Linked DNA regions of Caenorhabditis elegans. The protein of the gene in region 1 interacts with the protein of each later gene in a pairwise test. Each region holds a gene or a part of one and is shown in the gene's direction. Other genes may lie near its edges. The genes, in order: pals-17 and lin-31.

Region 1 (4,056 bases):
ATTTTCTGTAGTGCAAATTTTTTACAATTCTCGATTTTTTTAAAAACATCTTTTTATGTATCAAACCATGAAAGCGGTATTTTTCAACGCTAGCAATGAATTCAAAGTGTGGTGCAAGAATCGTGCGCAAAACTTTGAAACTCCGACCAGTTTTGATTGACGGAGCCTTACACATTTTCCCAAAACATCAAGGGAAACTTGTTGTACATAATCACCGAAATTATAAATTTAAATTCAAAAACAAGCTGTGAGGAGTGTGCTGTTTTATTTATCATTTTCAGTACTGTACAACCTAAAAATTCAATTTTCATAGCGCAATGGCACAAAATAACAGCAATTGGAAGCATTTTGAGAAACATAAATAGGATGTACATTGAAATAGAACAAATATGCACTATTTTTCTGTGAAATCTAAAAATTACTATACTTTGATAGTACTAAGATGCATTTTACAAAATAGGAGACCCATAATGTTTGTTTTATTTCCGATAAATACCCTGCCATTAGATATTTTTTGAAAATTCAAAAAAAAAAACGAAATATGCGTTCTTTGTATTTTCTGAACTAAAAACTGCAACCATATATTCAAAAAATCTACTGGAATGTGTTTTTCTGATAAATATTTCCTTATTCTCCCAAAAATATCGATGAAAAACAGGAAAAACACTTTCAAAGTTTCACTTTTGATTCAGAATGCAAGCGCGCCCCACTGCACACTTCAGGATTCTCATTGGTTAAAAATTCGTGCCCTAGGTTGCTGTGCGGAACAAAAACGAGAGAGACGACGATAAAGTGGAGCAAAAAGGAGAAAAAAAGAAAAAAAATTATGTTATCTACACATTTCATTTTCCTTAAAAGGGTTGTTATCACTTGAAAAAGTTTCCTGCACCTACGTCATTTTTCTACTCTTTTCGGATGTTCATATATTGCTTCAAAATTCTCATGTGTGAAAAATAGGGGATTTAAAAATTTTCCATGACTTCTGGTCGTGACGTTTTCTTTTATATTCTTAGTAATAGTACCGAGTACTATAATTTAAGACAATAAACTAGGACTGCTTAAAGGTCTAGTCCCTCTAGTGGGGTACAGTTTAAACAATTATTCTTTGAAGTATACTTTTTTGGAAAATCCCCGGAAAATGCAAAAATCGGGACCCAACATATTATCCGCCGACATCTCACGAGTTTCGCGGCTTGCTGTGTTTACCGTGACAGTTACTACGCCCTCATCGTCTTACGTTGCTGACGGCGTGCCGCACTGTCACGGTAAACGCAACGGGGTGCAAAACTCGTGAGATGTCGGCCGCTGATATTTTTTGGGTCCAGATTTTCGCATTTTCCCATGAATTTCCGAAAAATTTTTGCTCAAGACATTTTTGAATGTCTTACAACTTGAAAGGATTGTTTCGTTCCTTTCTAAATTAGTTGTTAGTTCCCAAAGTGTTCTCACTGGTAGATCATGCATAACGCGAGCCAGAAGCCAACGCACTGTCCTCCGGTAGCCACGGAAAGGTAGAACTTGGAGAAATTCCGTCAACTAATAAGTTTGCAGATTCGTAGTCTAAAACACACATACAAGTGTGATTCATTTTCTTACCATTATCAAAACAAAGCAGTGAGCACCCGTCATGTAGTGACATTGATTCAATACATTACTACATAATTATAGACCTTTCATAATACTCCCAGTTGGTTGCTCTGTCTTTATTTTTAGTACATTTTATAGACAACTAGCATGAACTTTTGAAACTTACTTGCGACCTCCTCAATGTTCATTTTCGAAACAAAACGTTTCAGTTATGAAATTTTCTAACGAAACTTCTTGAGCATAAAAGTACTAGTAACTCTCACACACGTCCGTTTTTTGGAATTTAGTGCCTCGTTTTTTCCAAATTTAACTTACAGAACCACCTCGCCAAAAATGAATTTTTCATCAAAGTTTTCTAGTGAAAAGTCTATCAGTGGTTTGTTCCTTTGACCAAGTCAAAATTGTAAAATTAAGTTTTCAGCTCAACAAAGCAACCTGCTGAGAAGAACATTTTCGGAAGGAAAAGAAATGTAAAACCCATAAGTCTCAAAAGTCTAAATAATGCTTTTCACCCTTCAGACAGTTTTTTATGGAGAGGCAAGGCGATTTTGCTAGACCAGAGCAGTCAAACCTTAACTACATGGAACCTGAATATTATGAGTTTAAGGTATATTTTATTTTGAGAATATATAATAATACTTACAGTTTCAACTTTTAGCCCGGAAACAGGAAGTTATATTCAAACAAAAATGGAGCATTCCAGAAAACAAGGGAAGAGGAAATGCTAAAAAATTTTGAGGATGAAAGGTTAGTGTTTTTATAGACGGCGTGCTATTTGACATATACGGCCTTCAAACTTACAGGCCAGTGCCAGGTAAAACAGATTTGGAACTTGCGTTTTTTCACAAATATGCATAGTTCACCACTCCCTGGTCTAACCAAAGTCCGCCTAACAGATCTTGCACACTTACTGAACAATTCGAATATATTGTTAGATTATTCCTAAAACAGCTCACCTTTTACGCGTTGCTTTTGAATATAGCTCATTATTATCAACACTATTGGATATTTTACAAATAGTCTTACCAGTCCAATTGTGAAGTATTTATTGCTACCCTTAAAGTAAAACCATACTTTGTAATTTTAACAGGGAACATTTGGAGCAGGAACACAACTTGAAAATTCACAAATTAGAGAATAAGAGGAAAAACTACATTGCTTTTCTAAAGCTCAAGAACAGAAACGAAGCTATGAGGTTATTTTCAAAAATGGTCCGTTTACTGCGTGAAATTGAGAAGGACGTGGACAATGCAGTGGAAAATGGTATTTCGGATGAGTTGTTCTCCGATAGCATAGAACGCCAAATTCAACAATTTGAGGAAGAAACTGAGTACTTTGAAAGTTTTATGATAAGATCTAGCTACATTGATGCGGATATATTTGAAAAGTTATCGGTATGTACAATTTATTGATTCAGTAAACATTTATTTAAATTACAGGACCAAGTTCTCAAAATGGGAGAACTTGTTAACTACTCGAATCTCCGATCTTTGTGCGTTCATTACCAAATAGCTTGTAGCAATAACGATGCCGAGAGAGTGGAGCTGTACAAGGATGATCTGAGAAACTTTCATCTCGATTTACAGGAAATGGCTGATATTTGTTCGGATTTTAATGTATAATGAAGAATATCTTTTTGTTTTTTTTTGTAAACAATTACCGACTTTTTATCTGAAAACTTACCTAATATGGTCTTAAATAAAGATCTTTAACGTGTTGTTTACATACATATGCCGTATTTTCCACCAAGGTCTTCATGCAAGACTAGTTTGACTGTGTTGTAGGGAACTATTTCAAAGTTTCAGATAAGTTATTGATGTTTTAATGAAACAATCATGTTAAATTTGTTTCGACTAAAACTAATACGTCACTTGAGTATTCGCACCACATTTTTTGATTTTTCAAATAGAGAGTTATGGAAACGCAGAAAATTGAAGAGAAGTAGTTGCTTATCAACACTTCTACAAGGTGATACATTTCAGTCGGCTGTACAATCGTCATCAAAGTTTATCACCCAGAATGGATACCATAACTGATAACAGTTCTAGGAGCATATGTATATAAAAGTCGATGACAGAAAATAGGGTTCTCACTTTGGAAAATTTATCCTAATAGTAAGATATTGTCGTATTATTTTTTGTTTTTTTTAATTTATCATAGTTTGTAAGCCAAACTTTTTGGTTAAAAATGTCTCATCTACCGGTGCCATTGAATTATTTTTGCAATAAAACATCTGAACGTGTTCCAAATTAGACCAAATTTCACAGGAACAATCTTTGGATATACACTAACATGTTCCAAACGTTTCGTGAGATAAGAATCACTGGGAGCCAAGTACTGGGCTCAGAAGCACTGAAAAGTGGTACAGGACGGTCCAGGTTGCTTCCCAACACTTTCACGTGAAATATTTTAGTTTTTTATAAGCGATTGAGATGTTTTGGTAATTTTTATGAAATCATCTCAAAAAAA
Region 2 (6,986 bases), on another chromosome or scaffold:
GGATGGCATTGCGGTTTTTATTCTTCCGTAAGGACAACTGGTTCTTTTTTCTTCTATTTTGATGTCTTCGTTTTGTCTTTACTGGTCTGTCTTCGAAGTTGCTGAGCTGATTTAGAACATTGTAAATTTGTAAGAAAATTGATTTTTATCAACATAATTACGAAGTATCACGTTTTACGTGTGTTTTTAGAGTTTTCAAGTAAAAAATTTGAAATCAGCGGTATTCAAAACCTAAACCTTTTCACGGGGACTCGATCCCTTGACCTTTTGCTCCAAAGGCATTGCTCTTACCCACTGAGCCATCCGTGGCGCCGTTTTCTTAGGGCGCCGTACCAAGTGGCGCAGTGGCTAAGAGGGACGACTTTGAAGCAAACGGTCATGAGTTCGAGCCCCCGGGAGTTGATTTAAATTTTCTGATTACGACTCGCTGCGCCCTAAAGGTCCCTTTAGCTCCCCATTGATCATTTATCCCAAATCTCATTTATAAAATCTTTGTCCCGAGACAAACCCAGTCATATTTAATTAGAATAATCACTACCCTTTTTTGATTCTCCCACATACAATTTTTTTAAACCGAGAGTACGGTAGGTAATAACAATTTATGGAGAAGAATATTAGGTGATGAGAATGGGTGTCTCTACTACTATTATATATATTACTTTATTCATTCATTAAATTATGGTGGTGGTGGTGACGATGAGAAACTTTACGGAATTTATGAGTGAAATTGTTCCAAAAAAGTGGTGAAGTGTCAAATGGAATATCTAACTGGGAGGGGGGTGAATAAGGACAATGGGGTTAGTGTACTCTCGAGAATATGGAATTAGAAAATGAGGAAAACTTGCAAAAAATGGAGCTTTGAAAAAAACTAGCTGAAAACATCCTTTCAGAGTTGGATTTTAAGATTTTAAGATTTCTCTAAATCATTGTAGTGAAATTTTCTACTGAGGTTTTCTAGTTTCTTTTTCATTTGGTATACATTTTTTTGTAGAAAATGTTCACCAAAACTTTTTTCGAATGCATAATAATTCAACATTTTCTATGCTTTTTAAATTATTTTTCTTGTTGCAGAAAACCCAAACTACCGTACTTTTTCACTAGGTGGTCTCCAAACTTTAATCCGTTATAACTCCACAAATATTTTTGATATAAAAAAGTTGTCAATTAACAAAATGTGCAAAATTTTATGACCAATATTTAATCAGTTGACAGTTTTTTGATATCTCAGGTAACCGCAGAGTTATGAGCGTTTGAAGTTGAAGCGTGCTCTAGGCTCTCCAGGTGACCCAAATATTTGAATATTTTAGTAATTCTCATGATTTTAAAATTGTCCAACAAAAATTCAAATATTGACACTAATTCTTCCCACCTAGACACCCCACCATTCCATGGACTAATCCCGTTAATTCGAACGCTTCCCCCCTACCGCTCTCGGTGTCACTCAAAATTTCAAACAAGTCGTGACAGTTCTCGGGTGGTCTGATACCAGTTTACCTACATTTTCAAAAAAAAACACAATCAACTCTTTCATCTTCAGTATTCCAGTGAATCCCGTCCCACACCAGATGCCCCAACTCAGCGGGGGCTGCGTGATACCCGGTCAGCAGCAGCACCAGCAACAGGAGTAACTGGTTCCTCCCAAATATAGGTTAGTGATGTGAATGTAAAACAAAGACTTATTTTTCTATTAGAAATGTGTTGTCATTTTCCTTATTACAAGTTGTTGCCTTTTTCCCTTACGGGCGGTCTCGGTAAGCGCTGTCTCCCCGTTGGCCAGCCCCGCCCACTCAACGCTCCGCCCTTCTTCTCCTTCTAAGGCTTGGCTTCTCAAACAAATTGACTTTTCCCAATCGCTAAGATTTCAATATATTTTGATATATTCCAAAACCTTCTTTATTAATTATCAATCCAAGCAAAACTCTATACATATTCCCTGAAAAATGCCAAGACCCGGAAAAGACTCGTACGATGAGCAGAAGCCACCGTACTCGTACATTTGGCTCACCTATATGGCTATTCAGGACTCTGACGATAAAATGCTCCCGCTCACGGAGATCTACAAATATATTATGGATCGGTTTCCGTTTTATAGGAAAAACACGCAGAGGTATGAGTTGGGGGTTTGAAAGTTTTTGAGCTCTAAGAAAATTTCTAGTTTTTCTAAAATTCCTGTGTTACTGAAACCCAAAAAAGGGGGGTTTTGTCAATTTTTCCAAGAATCCATTTTTTAAGGCCATTTTGTGAAAAATTTTCAAGTTAAATTTAACAAAAAAATCTGACATTGAAGTTTCCCTTTGTGACTGATTTTGCGTTTTAACAGAGCTTTGAAGATTGAAATGTTTTTTTTCTGAAATTTCGATATTTGTATTTCCATAGTTATTTTGCTTTGAAAAAATATACAAAATATGCTCAAAAACTCCAAATTTCATAGTTTTCAGTCCGGTTTATTTTGGGGTTTTTTCTCACTTTTATAGATTAGTTCTTGTAGTTTCCCCACTTTTATAAGAAAAATTATTGGGTTCAAAAATATGCAATTTTCAATGTTTTAAACAAAAAAAAGTCCTAGAAATATATTTTCGAAGTTTTCTCTTGATTTTTTTATAGTTAAAGTGACTTAAAAATATATGAAATTTCCTTTAAAACAAACAGAAAAATTCTCTAAAAAACTCAAAAAGTGTATTCATTAGTTTCAACATTTCAGAAAAAAAGATAAAAATCAGCTCAAAATGTAATGTTTTCAGGTGGCAAAACTCCCTGCGACACAACTTGTCATTCAACGACTGCTTCATCAAGATCCCAAGAAGAGCCGATCGTCCTGGGAAGGTAATATTTGTAATTTAAAAAAAAATAAAATTTCCGAAGTTATTAATTTAATTTTTAAAAACCTAAACAATTTGCAATTTTCAAAGATGAATTTCTAGCAAAAAAAAGTTACATACTATATATGGGTTTTTCCAAGAACTCGTTTGCTCTCTTTTTGTGCTCTTTTGCCCTCAATGAGCACATGCTCACTTTATAGAACCAACAAAACAACTACCGTAGTCCTTAGAGCTAAAGTAAATCTGCAACACTTTTTGCTCATTCTGCAATTTCCATGTTAAATCCTGTGATAATTTTTTTTCTAAATTTCCGAAAAAAAAACACCGTAAAAAATTCCAGGGCTCCTACTGGGCGGTGCACCCAAATGCCTCCGGAATGTTCGAGAACGGCAGCTGCTTACGGCGTCGGAAACGATTTCGGGTAAGTCTTCGGTTACTGTACTTATCAAATTGTGTAAATTAATGATCTTATCACTTCAAAGAGAAACGCAAAAATCTCCAACAAAAAAAAACGAAAAATTGATTTAGAGAGGGCGCGCGCGTGCTTCCCCCTTCACGATTTTGAGAGAGAAAGACAATTCTACAGTAATCCTCAAGGTTGGTCGATGACAGAAAAGGCGAGAAATTTGTTTTAAATACGATTGAGAGACTATTGGGGGAAGAGATTATGATGAACGGCTGCAGGATTGGATAAGACTTTGCAGATTTTGATGTGGGGTACTGTAGTTTAAAGGGAAGACTGTGAACAAATATTTAAGATAGTGTGGCTATGCGCAGGCTTAGGCTTAAATTTAGGTTTAGGCTTAGGCTTAGGCTTAGTCTTAGGCTCAGTCTCAGGGTTAGGTTTAGGCTTAGGCTCAGGTTCAGACTTAGGTTCAGGCTTAGCCTATTGCTTAGGCTTAGGCTTAGGCTTAGGCTTAGGCTCCGGCTTAGGATTAGGCTTAGGCTTAGGTTCAGGCTCAGGGTTAGGCTTAGGGTAAAGCTTAGGTTCTGGCTTAGGCTTAGACTTATGCTTAAGATTAGGCAATGAAGAGTACCTGTGTATTTGGTTCAGCCGAAATTGCGCAACTTTGAGAATGTACAAAATTCTTAAAAAATTGCAGAGTTGGAACTTTCAGAAATCGCAAATGCCTTCGGAGAATAGGAAGCTTCGGCACTGTGGTTTTGGTACTGACCTGCAATTTTCAAATCATTCTGCAAAGTTTTAAATTTGACAAAAATTTTTTATCAAAATGGTTTTGAAACGTTTATCTACATAGGGTAATTAACCTCGCCCCCCCCCCCCCCCCCCAAAATATTTTCAATTTTCACTCAATTTTACTCAATACAATTAAACAGTCATATTAAGATGAATTGACTTACGCGCGCGAAATACTCTCCTCCCGGTACTACCCAATAAAATGTGCCATCTGTTGCAATAGTTGTACTCCTACTACTTCTACGGGGGGGGGCAACAGATGCCTCCTATCCAATATTGTAGTGTTATGTTGAAATGAAAATGAGTGACTTGTGTCTGTGTGTGTATGATGAAGTAGTTAGAAAAGAGGACAAAGAAAAAGTAATAAGAAGTTGCAAGAGTTTGTTTGAGTGGGGTGAGCGGGGTTTGCACATAACTTTAAATTTTTTTCAACTATTCGGCTTGGGAACTCTACACCTATTGAAATATAAGGCTGTAGGCAAGCACTTAGGCATGTAGGTAGGAAGAACGGGGACATGACTATGCAAACAGGTATAATTCTGTTCCAATGTACTGTTCCAAATATCAAATCCTCCATACAGTCTGTCCTCCAACCACAAGCCCATTAAAATGACAGTCAGGCTGTCCAGCGGGGGGTCCCCCGCCGAAAAAGAAGGGCTGTCGCGGGGCGCTAGCTAATATGTGACACATATACATATAACTGTATCACTTGTACATGTACATAAGACGGATTGGAAACAAAAGTGATTCTCTTTGCCTATGGTTCATTCCATTTCGCGCAATGTTTTAGGTAGTACGGTAGATTAAATGGCCTTGGGGCGAGGAGGGGAGGACTAATCACTTGGAGGGGAAAGAAGAGGCAAGACAAAGATTGATGCGGTTTGAATTTAGATATTTAGGTGGTGGAGCGAGGTGTCAATGTTTGTCAGGTGCCTGATTTATTAGTATATGTACTTTAAGAGATGAATTATAGAAGTGCTGCAAATTTGAAAGGCATAACTGTAAGGTACCTTTTAAATTACTACCGGCATGTGGTGTCAAAGTGTTTCAGTTCGGTTTGATCTACAAAGAATGCTGGAGAAGAGACGCAGACTTTTTCGGGGCGGTGCTCGGGAAGAGCTGATTTACGTCGATTTACAGTTTTCCTCGTTTCTAGAATTTCGTAAATCGACACAAATCGGCTTTTTCCGCGCCCCGTCCTTTGGGTCCCGGGATGTCTCTGTCTCTTCAACTATCTACACTATCTGTACTGGTAATAGTGCATTTTCTAAAATTGAATCATAAAATTTTGCTGTAAAAGTTGAACGTTTTTTAAACACAGTTTTAAAAAATATTTAAAAAATTCAATTTCAGGCTCGCGGCGGCCAAGACGACGACGACGACGACTTCCACCACCCGGCTCCATCGAAAATCTCTCGCAAAAATCCTCTTCCACTGCTCCCGGAGCCCCCAATAACCCCACCACTCCTCTCCTCCCTTTTCCCAAATCTTCCACCATCACTCCCAAATTTCTGCCTGTTTCCTCCAGGCATGGATCCTACAAAATCGTTGCTTCTGAACCCTCTTTCCCTACTTTTAATGCCCCATTTCTTGAAAAATTCTTCGAATTTTGAGAGCTCGACTCCACACTCTGAAACATCGGAGATTTCTGGGTCGGGATCTTCATCGTCGAAGACTCCAACTCCTGAAGCTGGCTTCAACTCTTCTTTCAGTATTGAGTCGATTTTGAGCTCTTGAGCTTTTGAGCTCATCTCACTACCTTTTAATTATTAAAAAAATAATATTTTCATTAAATTGTGCCACACATTTTCCTGTTCATTTTCTGTCATCCTGTCTTTCTTTTCTTGTTTCTTAAGATTCGATTTTCTATTTCAATAATGTGCAAATGCGCTCTGTTAACCAACTAACCGACTAACCCAACCTAGCAGCCGACATTTCACGGGGCAAAACCTGTAAACTGTCGGCTGCTAAGCGGAGGACCTACTAACAACTGATATTATCAATGATAACATTCCACACATCCCAGCTCCCAATATTTCCATCGGTGTTAACTTTTTTCAGATTTTTTCTGAAGCTTAAACTTCAGAATGTCAATTCTGTTCTAAACCTAGTCCCTATACATTTGAAATTATTGATTTTCTAGATTTTTCTTCTTGTGATAAGTACTTCTTGTACTCTGTTCCCCAATATTTTTTGTATTGAATATAAAATATTTATTAATTTCCCAGGCTCTTTTTAGTCATAAACAACCAAATAACGTTTTTTTTTCTCCAAATAATGAAAAAGTTGCCAGTGGTTAGTTTGATTTTTTTTACTTGAAACATCAATTAAAAATGCCAATTTTTTCCAACGCTGCCGTAATTGTTGTTATCTTTGATATTTACCGTGACTCTCTCATATCAAATTTTTCCCGAAAGACTACAGAATATTCAAACAATACGAATGCAACGATATCGATGAGTCAATCGAAATTTGATAAATTGTTATGTCGAAATACTACGACTCCTCCTACAATTTGCGTATAAGAATAGCGTCCGAATTCTTATACATACGCTCAAAATTCTTTAAAAATGGATTCAAAAAAACCGTATAAATACTCTACTTATTGCTTTATTTTTCTCAATTGTATTCTCGTGGTGTTTCAACGGCATTTCGGTTTTTTTGCCACAATGGAATGTAGATGACACGGTAGATCAAGTTAGCCTTTTTCCGCTGGATTTACTGGTTAGATTTATCTTTATCTTTATTTCACTTGAATTAATCTTTAATTGAAGAACAACCCGCCATACTTCAGTGCGGTCGCATTGATGATGCTTCTTTCGTTTTGTGCAACTGTAGCTATCTCTATGTTTTACATTTTTTCTTTGTGAGTTTCTTTTTGAAATTTCTTGGCACGAGAACCAACTGAGTGGATATGCAAAAATCAGCTAGGCCCTAGGCAGGCAGATAATCTAGGCAGCCATTAACTC

The links.
Region 2: the proteins of pals-17 (region 1) and lin-31 interact in a two-hybrid assay, tested with the Caenorhabditis elegans proteins (2 studies listed by BioGRID).

Annotation. Positions count from the first base shown.
Region 1 is NC_003281.10:1,389,699-1,393,754, reverse strand, and holds pals-17 (Protein containing ALS2cr12 (ALS2CR12) signature), read left to right. Parts: upstream 1-1,902; 5' UTR 1,903-1,920; coding exon 1,921-1,963; intron 1,964-2,008; coding exon 2,009-2,057; intron 2,058-2,106; coding exon 2,107-2,194; intron 2,195-2,245; coding exon 2,246-2,334; intron 2,335-2,677; coding exon 2,678-2,981; intron 2,982-3,026; coding exon 3,027-3,209; 3' UTR 3,210-3,305; downstream 3,306-4,056.
Region 2 is NC_003280.10:3,980,714-3,987,699, forward strand, and holds lin-31 (Protein lin-31), read left to right. Parts: upstream 1-1,835; 5' UTR 1,836-1,940; coding exon 1,941-2,107; intron 2,108-2,741; coding exon 2,742-2,823; intron 2,824-3,159; coding exon 3,160-3,240; intron 3,241-3,615; exon of another isoform or gene 3,616-3,807; intron 3,808-5,370; coding exon 5,371-5,754; 3' UTR 5,755-6,316; downstream 6,317-6,986. Other genes in the region: K10G6.5 (Serpentine receptor class gamma), read left to right, coding at 6,825-6,883. UniProt on the Caenorhabditis elegans protein: Lin-31 regulates how vulval precursor cells choose their fate. It helps specify three alternative cell fates in vulval development.